Oryzias latipes: one gene and its partner. The protein of the gene in region 2 binds, or shares a complex with, the protein of the main gene of each other region. Links are inferred from orthologs where the notes say so. Each region holds a gene or a part of one and is shown on either strand. Other genes may lie near its edges. The genes, in order: pdcd10 and strn.

What was found.
Region 1: strn (region 2) and pdcd10 share a complex: the UniProt entries of both Homo sapiens proteins name them as parts of the core of STRIPAK complex. The link is inferred for Oryzias latipes from reciprocal best matches to the Homo sapiens genes STRN and PDCD10.

What each region holds. Positions count from the first base shown.
Region 1 is NC_019880.2:9,011,166-9,015,477, forward strand, and holds the start of pdcd10 (programmed cell death protein 10), read right to left. Parts: upstream 2,837-4,312; 5' UTR 2,707-2,836; exon of another isoform or gene 2,483-2,706; intron 929-2,482; 5' UTR 752-928; coding exon 662-751; intron 354-661; coding exon 300-353; intron 1-299. UniProt on the Homo sapiens protein: Promotes cell proliferation. Modulates apoptotic pathways. Increases mitogen-activated protein kinase activity and STK26 activity. Important for cell migration, and for normal structure and assembly of the Golgi complex.
Region 2 is NC_019873.2:28,015,848-28,019,665, reverse strand, and holds part of strn (striatin), read left to right. Parts: intron 1-409; coding exon 410-520; intron 521-2,446; coding exon 2,447-2,590; intron 2,591-2,658; coding exon 2,659-2,792; intron 2,793-3,818. UniProt on the Homo sapiens protein: Calmodulin-binding scaffolding protein which is the center of the striatin-interacting phosphatase and kinase (STRIPAK) complexes.

The DNA of each region.
Region 1 (4,312 bases), on a different chromosome or scaffold from region 2:
GAATGGAAAAATGACTTTGGTGAAAAATCTCAGCAAGTTCTTTTTTTTTAAAGCTAAATTCAACATGAAGGAAGTTAAACACAGAAAAGCTTTTTTCTTTTTTAAAGCAGAAGTCATTCATTTAATTTCCAGATGCCCTCCCCAACCATGAAGACGCATAACTCAACAATAGGATTTATTTTTTTAAATTACTGTACCCAATTGCTATGACACACATTCATACTCTTTGCAACATACATATGACAGGAGTGGGATCACATGATTTTACATTTCCTCTTGGTTGATTCACGAGGTCTCACCTTTATGAAAGCTGCCCTGAGCGTCTGAGCTGCTGATGGATTGATTCTCTCCAGCTAAAAAGAAGAAACAAAGAAAAAAAGTACAGGCCATTAAAAAACAAAACACACCAGGACAGAGAGCGGTGCTTAGCGTTAACAAAAACGTTCACAGAAAAGAGAAAAGATTAGAAACAATTTTTGAGAAGCATTTACTATTACAAAATTTTGAAAAAAGTTCAGAAATATCAATTCTTCTACTTTAGGTACTAAATTTGGATTTTATGATAAGAGAAACATCTGTCAACTTCAATTAAAACTCTATAAAAAATATGTATTTTTTGGACTAATGTTTTTTCATTTTTTAATTGTGATGGCAATGTTACCTCATTAAAAACTGGGAACATCACAGCATACAGCGTCATGGATACCATGGAGTTAGTCTCCGCTTCATTCTTCATCTCCTCCATTGTCATCCTCCAGGGAGGAGCAGCACTTGTTAAATTAGTGACAAAGAAAGTGCAGCTCTCGCACACTCACACATACACCCACTCACATACACACACAATCACTCACACACACAGACACACACACACACAGACACACATACACACACACAGGACAAGCCGCACAAGTTCCAGAATGCAAGTGACCTGCAAAGAAAATAAAACAACAATAGACGGTTATTGATGAAGGTTAGAAATTTGATTATCTTTATAAAAACCAGCTTTTGGTTTCCATTAACTTGATGGTGAATCATTGGTTTTACTTTTACAAAGATATTAGTCCTTGTTCAATTACATCGGTTCCAATTCCGCAAGAAAATAATTTCTAGATATGAGCCGAAATAATTTACAGAACTTGGTACCGAGAGGAAAAACAGAATATTGCTTAGCCTTGCTCCTAATTGGGGAAGTAGCTCTTCTATCTACAAGCTCCATTCATTCAAATATAAATTTCAAAACATTGTTGGCACATTGTGCAAAGGCGCAAATATTAGAGTAAAATCCATAAACAGATTTTTTTTTAATGGAAATAGACTGACATTCCAGCTACCATTAGAAAGAGCAGCTGGAATGGACAGCCTTAGGTTTCAGTCACACTTGACCTGTTCAAGTTAAAGAAAAAGAAATGATCCAAGTTAGTTTACAGCTTGTAAATGTTTCACTAATGCCATAACAGGGGTCTACCATAAAAGGAAAAGGAAAATAAAAAAATACCTGACTATATATTAGTCATAAAGCACAAAGGGGTAGGTACCAAGTGCCACTTCAGGGGGGGTACTTGGGGTTTTTAATAAAATAAGAAGCTAATTATAATTGTAAAAGTATAATGAAATCTAAATCCAATTTTATTATTGTTAAAGATATTTCAATTAAGATTTAAAATAATTCTCTATAATTCGTTCATAAATACAATTTTGTACCTACATTTATAGACTACTCTTATGAATTTACATTAAACCCCCAAAAAACAACAACATAGGGGCTTACCTAACCTAAAATGTTTTATGTTTTTTTTTTATCTGCAGAGATAAAACTCAAATTAAAGTTTTTCAAATAAATCTACAGTGCCACATAGTAGTTTGTTCTGTGATGATTAATAGCAGTTACTAAAAAGTAAAATCTGAAAAATAAAGAATCATACGCTAACCCGCCCACACAGAGGCTATGTTTTGACGCCAAAGGTAAGAGAACCTGTTGACTTTTTTAATTTGGTTAAGGGGAGTGGCACGCTTTAATAATGTTCCTTTTTTTTTAACAAAACCTCACTGTGAACTTAACTGAAAATCTAATTTAAATCTAATTACTTGACAAACAATATTATTATCGCTAAGTTTCTAAAACGCAACATACGTAAAGAAGTAACTAGTCACATTAGAAAAAAAAAAACTACTTCACAGACTAGGTAAGAATGACAAGTGTTCGTAGATGAAATATTACTGAAAACGGTGAGTGTAAATGCTTAAACAAAAGGAGACAAAGTTGGTCTAGTTTTTATTCGTATAATGGTGTCTGAAGCGCTGCTCGTCTCAGTTGGAAGCTAAACTGACCAGTTAACACTAGCTACCGAAATACAGATAGCCCTAGTAGGTGGTAGTGCTAACGAGCTATCAGAAAGGCTAAGTCGCTGACGTATCATAAAATTAAGAAATGTATTTTAAATAAAACGAAGTAATGTCAATGTTTAAAAAACAGCACTATTACCTGTTGGTGTTAAGTCACACATGTAAATCGATCTAATTTTAAAGACATTCACTTGAGGCCTATAAGCGATCGAATCGATATTAGCAAACTGCTAGCTTTGAATAGCGTAGCTAGCTCAAATAAATTGAAGCTTTAATCCCAAACGGCCCTAAACACTTACACAAACTGACTGCGCTGCGCAAATTATCCTATACTTGTAAAAAAAAAACGATATTTGGTTCTACCTTTGATCTGACTTCTTTAAACTGCTGGCTATTCCGTCGATTGCCTTTTAGCTCCTGTGTTTTCTTTACAACTTGAGGCGGAAGTTTCTTCGGACTGGCCCGAACGACATTTTCCGGACCATTGCTACGTAAACGCCCATTTATCCAATCAGAGAGCGGAAACCGAAACTGTGCAACATACGTCATTTAAATGCTCGCGTTTCAATCGTTGCAATCATTTTTCGAGTAAACAGTACTTTTATGGTTTCACATAATTAAATAATAAGCGAATATAAAATAACATCAATAATAAAATACTTTAAACAATAATTAAAAAAATTCATGATAATAACAATTACACACCAAAAAAAACAGGATGTATTTTATACCATGAACATAATTGGTAGTAACTCACAATAAAAGTATTTAATTACACAAACACTCAACTTTGTAAAATAACAGTTATGTAAAGTATTACCAATAAATATATTTTACATTTCACTCAGTGAATGTTTAGTAACTCTTGTATTACAACAGACTTGCCACCTCAGCAGTAGCCTATAGGTGTTGTAGGTCACTGTACGCTTTTTCACATTTTTGTCTCAAATTAAATTATGGAGACAAATTTCCTGTTAGGATAACTAGACCTAAAAAAATTATTTCCTTTTCATGTCAGGTCCATTTCACCCCTTAAATCCATATCTGCCTGACCTGTTGTTGTAAGTTAAGGGTGGTCATATTAACCTACTTCAAGTAGCATTTTATTTGTGGATATTAGTCTTTTAGAGGTACATAAGGCTTTTTTTTAGAGTAGTAATACTTTTCAAAAAAGTATAGACTAAAATGCCACTTTAAATTGTTATGGTTTGCTTGTGCAGGTACAAGCTTAAAGGTAATGCTTCAGGAGACATGTGAAGCAGTGCGATTTTGAGCCAGAATTCTTTTAATACAAGGCATTACTTCAGAAATGTGTTACGTTTTGGAAGTAACTTGCAAAAAACTGATTATAACCAAAGTAAAAGAAAAATTAAACATGTTTACTTAAAAAGGAGTAAAAAAAAACAAAACACTCCATTTCCACCACCCAAATGATGGTGTTAATTTTTTATATTATTTACAATTTCTCTATTTTTTATTAGGTTCAAGAAGTTGTCATCAAACTCTTTCAACCCTTTAACTATCCAACCAAGACAAAATCAAATTTTTAAAAAACTGTTTTTTTCTGCTGCTAATTACCTTGGGGGAGTAATTCACACAATGTTTTTTAATCTCAATTTTTCTAAATGTGCTCTACTGTTTGGTGGAGCAGGCAGTTGAGTGTGAACGCTGATCTGATTCTGCCCTCTGGAGGAAGAGCAGAAGAACAGTTTTATCACAAAAAGAAACACACTGGTAACCAACAGGAAACTTTCATCAACCTGAGAAACGGTAGTGAAAGCAGTGAGTCCACAGACAAACCCTTTCATTGAAAAATGTAAAGCTCACTGCATAAAACTGGTTTAAGATGTGGTCAAACAAATTTATAAGTGAATCTATTATTAAAGACAAAATTGTGTTTTAGGTGTTTATAACATGTTCCAGTAACATTATTCTCAAGATGTAGGACATAGAGAGAATTGAGCTTAAA
Region 2 (3,818 bases):
CACTGTATGTTCACAAGTCCAGCCTGTGACACCAACATGTTTCCACTCGTCTGTCGTCAGATCGCCCAGATCCCCTCTGAGCTTCGCTGGTCTTTAGCTGGAGTCAAAACAATCAGCTTGATGTCATGCTGGGTTTAATCTTTGACTTTAGCCACAAAAGACAATTTTATCTCAAAAGCTGAAGTCAGACATTCCCCACCATGACACAAACCTCTCTCAAATCCACCTCCTTCTTTCTGCCAGCAGAAAGAAAACACAGAGGAGGGTCAGGAGAGGCCCGTAGCTCCGCCCTCCTCGTTTATGAAATTGATTTGAATCTGAAAGTCTCAGAGCGTTTGCAGCTCTCTGTCTGCAAGGACCAGGGCAGTTTCTCAACAGCCTGTCGGTCTGGTTTTGTCCCCTTGTGTAGAGAAGAACGAGCAAGGCTCCATTTCTGAGGCCTGGGACGTGGCCCCGGGCCTGATAACCCAGCTCAAGGAACAGTACAAAAAGGATCGCAAGGGGAAAAAGGGGGTTAAGAGTAAGTCCTGCTAGGTATTGCTGCCTCCCTGCTTCTTCTCATTCTGCAGAGCCTAAAGCCTTAGTCACAACTGAACCTGCGGGTGGAGACGGGCTTCCTGCGGGCGAAAAATGGTCAAACCTGTACGGGTGGCACCCGTCAATACCTGCTGCAGTCTGGCCGTTAGACAGGAGGAAAATGGACAGAGTGTAGTTTGTGTGGACATCCCATGAACACTTCTGTATCACCCAGTGTGTGCAGCACTTATGCACAATTAGTAAGGAGACTGTACTGGCACCTTGAATGTGCCGTGACGACACTGTAGGACAGCATCACCTGTAGGTTGTAAGTGTGTGTAACTTACATTATTGCCACACATACACACGACAATGGTACGTCCCGTTTTAATGATGCCCCTTGAGGTCCTTGTACGAGCCTCAAGGAAGCTGCAAGATAAAGAAAATTCTACAAAAACTTTGCATTTCTGAGTATTTCTTTAATCAAATCGTTGTGGAAAAAAAAAGCTGTTTGGAAAAGATTTTTGACGGAAAATTTGCTCGCCGGGCCACAAGCTCCCTGCTCTGCTCCATTCTCAGGCGAAGGGTCTATAGATGCATTCGTTTGGGTTGCTCCACGCCAACTTTCCCGCCCACAACTCTGAAACTCTGTCCTAAATATCGACACGGGTTTCTTTTCTTTTTTCATTTTGGCTAAAAACGGTAAAATCCTGATCAAAAGAGCACTGGGAACACTCTGAAACCCGAAAGCCGAAAGCCTCACAGCACCCGTACAGGTCAAGCCCCCCAGTGTGACTAAGGCTTTACTTTCCTGAGAAACCAGCCTCAAATCCAAATTGGAGCATCTTCACTGTTTTCTCTGAGTTTCTTCTGTCGCCGCTCCTCGTTCTGCTTCTCTGTCCTCTTCACATCTCATTCTTCAGACCTCTCCGGTGCCTTCAAAACCTGCATCTGTGCTCAGGATTTCTTTTGCCCTTTGGTTGACCCTGGTGCATGCCTCATTTCAGTCTTTCATCGCCTTATTCTCATCTTCACGTCATCGTGCTAACCGTGAAAGATCAGACCGCCGTGCCACAGTAGCTCTGTGATTGCCGCCGTGGTCCTCATCGGTCGGCTCGGCTCGCGTGGAGAAGTCGTGTAGCCGCTGATGTTCTGCCGCTCGATAGCAAAATCAGAGCTTTTCCTGTGACCCGCATGGATGACTCATTCAGCAGCCCACAGATTTCACATTTCTGACACCCAGTCTCCGCTCTCCTTCTGCAGCGACTGCTCGTGACATCAACACTCACTTTCTCACCTTCCTTCTACGCTGTTTACACAGCCCCCCCCCCCCAAGAGTGTGTGGTTTTTTTTTTTGTGGGTGTTCGGACGACACCATGTAGAGTTTCTGTTCCTGCGATTTTTGTCTGTTGCAGCTCCTCATAATCCATTTCTGCGCCGTGTTCATACCAGCCGTTAACTGCTGTTATTTATTGCTAAAACTGTTGTTAGATTTAAAAAAAAAATAAGCTGGAATTTACAGTTTTGTGTTGCCAATTGCACCTTTGTTTGTTGAGCATCACAAGGAAACTTTCCTAGGTCTCTGCTGGTTGCTTAGCAACAGCTCTGAGCCGGAGGAAAGTGTGTCAAAAGGACAGACTGAGCGGATCGTAGTTTTTGTCTCACGCACTTCTGAAAGGATGGCAGTTAAAACGTACAGATTCAGGTTTAGACTACAGTGATTCTCCACACCAGCGGCTTTAAAGGCAAATGTACCTTTTGAGTAGGTTTCACTGCTTTTCTTCAAACTTTATCTATTTTTCTTTCTTCCCAGTCCTTCCATCTTTTCATCTTTTTTTCTCTCAGCTTGTTTGCACTCTTTTTCTCTCGTCTCCGTTCTCCATCAGTATGTGTTGGTTCTGTTAACCGGTGTAACCCCACCTGTGAACAGGACCCAACCGATCCAAGCTGCAGGACATGCTGGCCAACCTGAGGGACGGCGAGGACATGCCTCACATGCAGCCTCCGTCCGCCCCGCAGCCCCGACCCAGCGTGCCCCGCTTTAACGAACACGAGGGAAACCGGCCGGATGAAGGTGCCTCAGAAAGACCGCCGCCCCCTTTCTGTTTGAACTTTGGTTATAATCAGGTTTCCTCTCCGCAGTGGAGACCCTTGCTTTCCCGCCCACCTCAGGGACGTTTATTATGGGCGCAGACGAAGCTATGAAGAGCGACCTGGGACTCGGGGAGCTGGCCAGCATCACCGTGGCCAACGAGGTCGAGAGTCTGGCATACGATGTGAGTGAACTGTTCCGGTTTTTCCGGCCCGAATCGTTCACAAGTCTGCGTTTAGCGGGTCAACCAGACAACGGAAAATAGCATCTCTTCAGCCATTTTACCCCTATGAAAGTAACAGTCCACCTGGACCTTTTCTTCTTTATTCATCACATAATATTTTAAATTGTTTTTCAAAATAATTTCATCCCTGACACTATTAGATAAATTGTTACAGATCTAAAATGTTCTAGATCTGTAACCTGAGGCTCTGGAGCCACAAGCAGCTCCTTTATTACTCTATCCTGGCAATATAAAAAATTATAGTTTTAGTTTGTTTGTTTTTGCTAACTTTGTTTTATCATTTATGTACACATTTATGACATCACTGAGAGAAGTGATGGTAAAAAGTTCAGTCTGCTGTCAGAGTGGTTTAAGATTCAACATGTTCTTTTCTTCTGCTGCACAACAGAGTCTAGAGAAGTTCTTAAAGATTCTCTAAAAAATAAATTAAAAAAAGCTGTATTCTACACTGATCTCATCACATTTATATTTGATAGTAAGAGGAGAAAAAGGATGACAGTGATTCGCCAAACTCTCTTGCCTTTGTTTAAACCAAAACTGCTGCAGCAAAAGGATCCTATTTGGCACACAGGATGTGTTTTATTTTGAAAGGATGGTGTATATGCCGGTGTCAAAATAAAAAAGGGAATGAATAAATAAAGTTAAAATAAGTTAAAATTCTCAAATTTGAATGGTGTAAAATAACTCTAAACCCCCCCCAAATGAACTGATTTCATAGATGAAGTGATCCGAAGGTTTTGAGTTGAGGCCCTGATAAAACACTGAGTAGTTAGGAATATGTTTATTTCTGTTTATTTGATTCTATTAAAGGCATTTTGATAAGAATGACGGTATCAGACTGTGGAACAAGTGAACAAAACCATGAAGCTCAGAGACGCTAGTCTGTCTGGCGTTTGGCGGCTGTTTGCACTACATCTCCCATGATGCATTGAGTTAAAGTGACAGTGTCTCAGCGCACAATGAGCC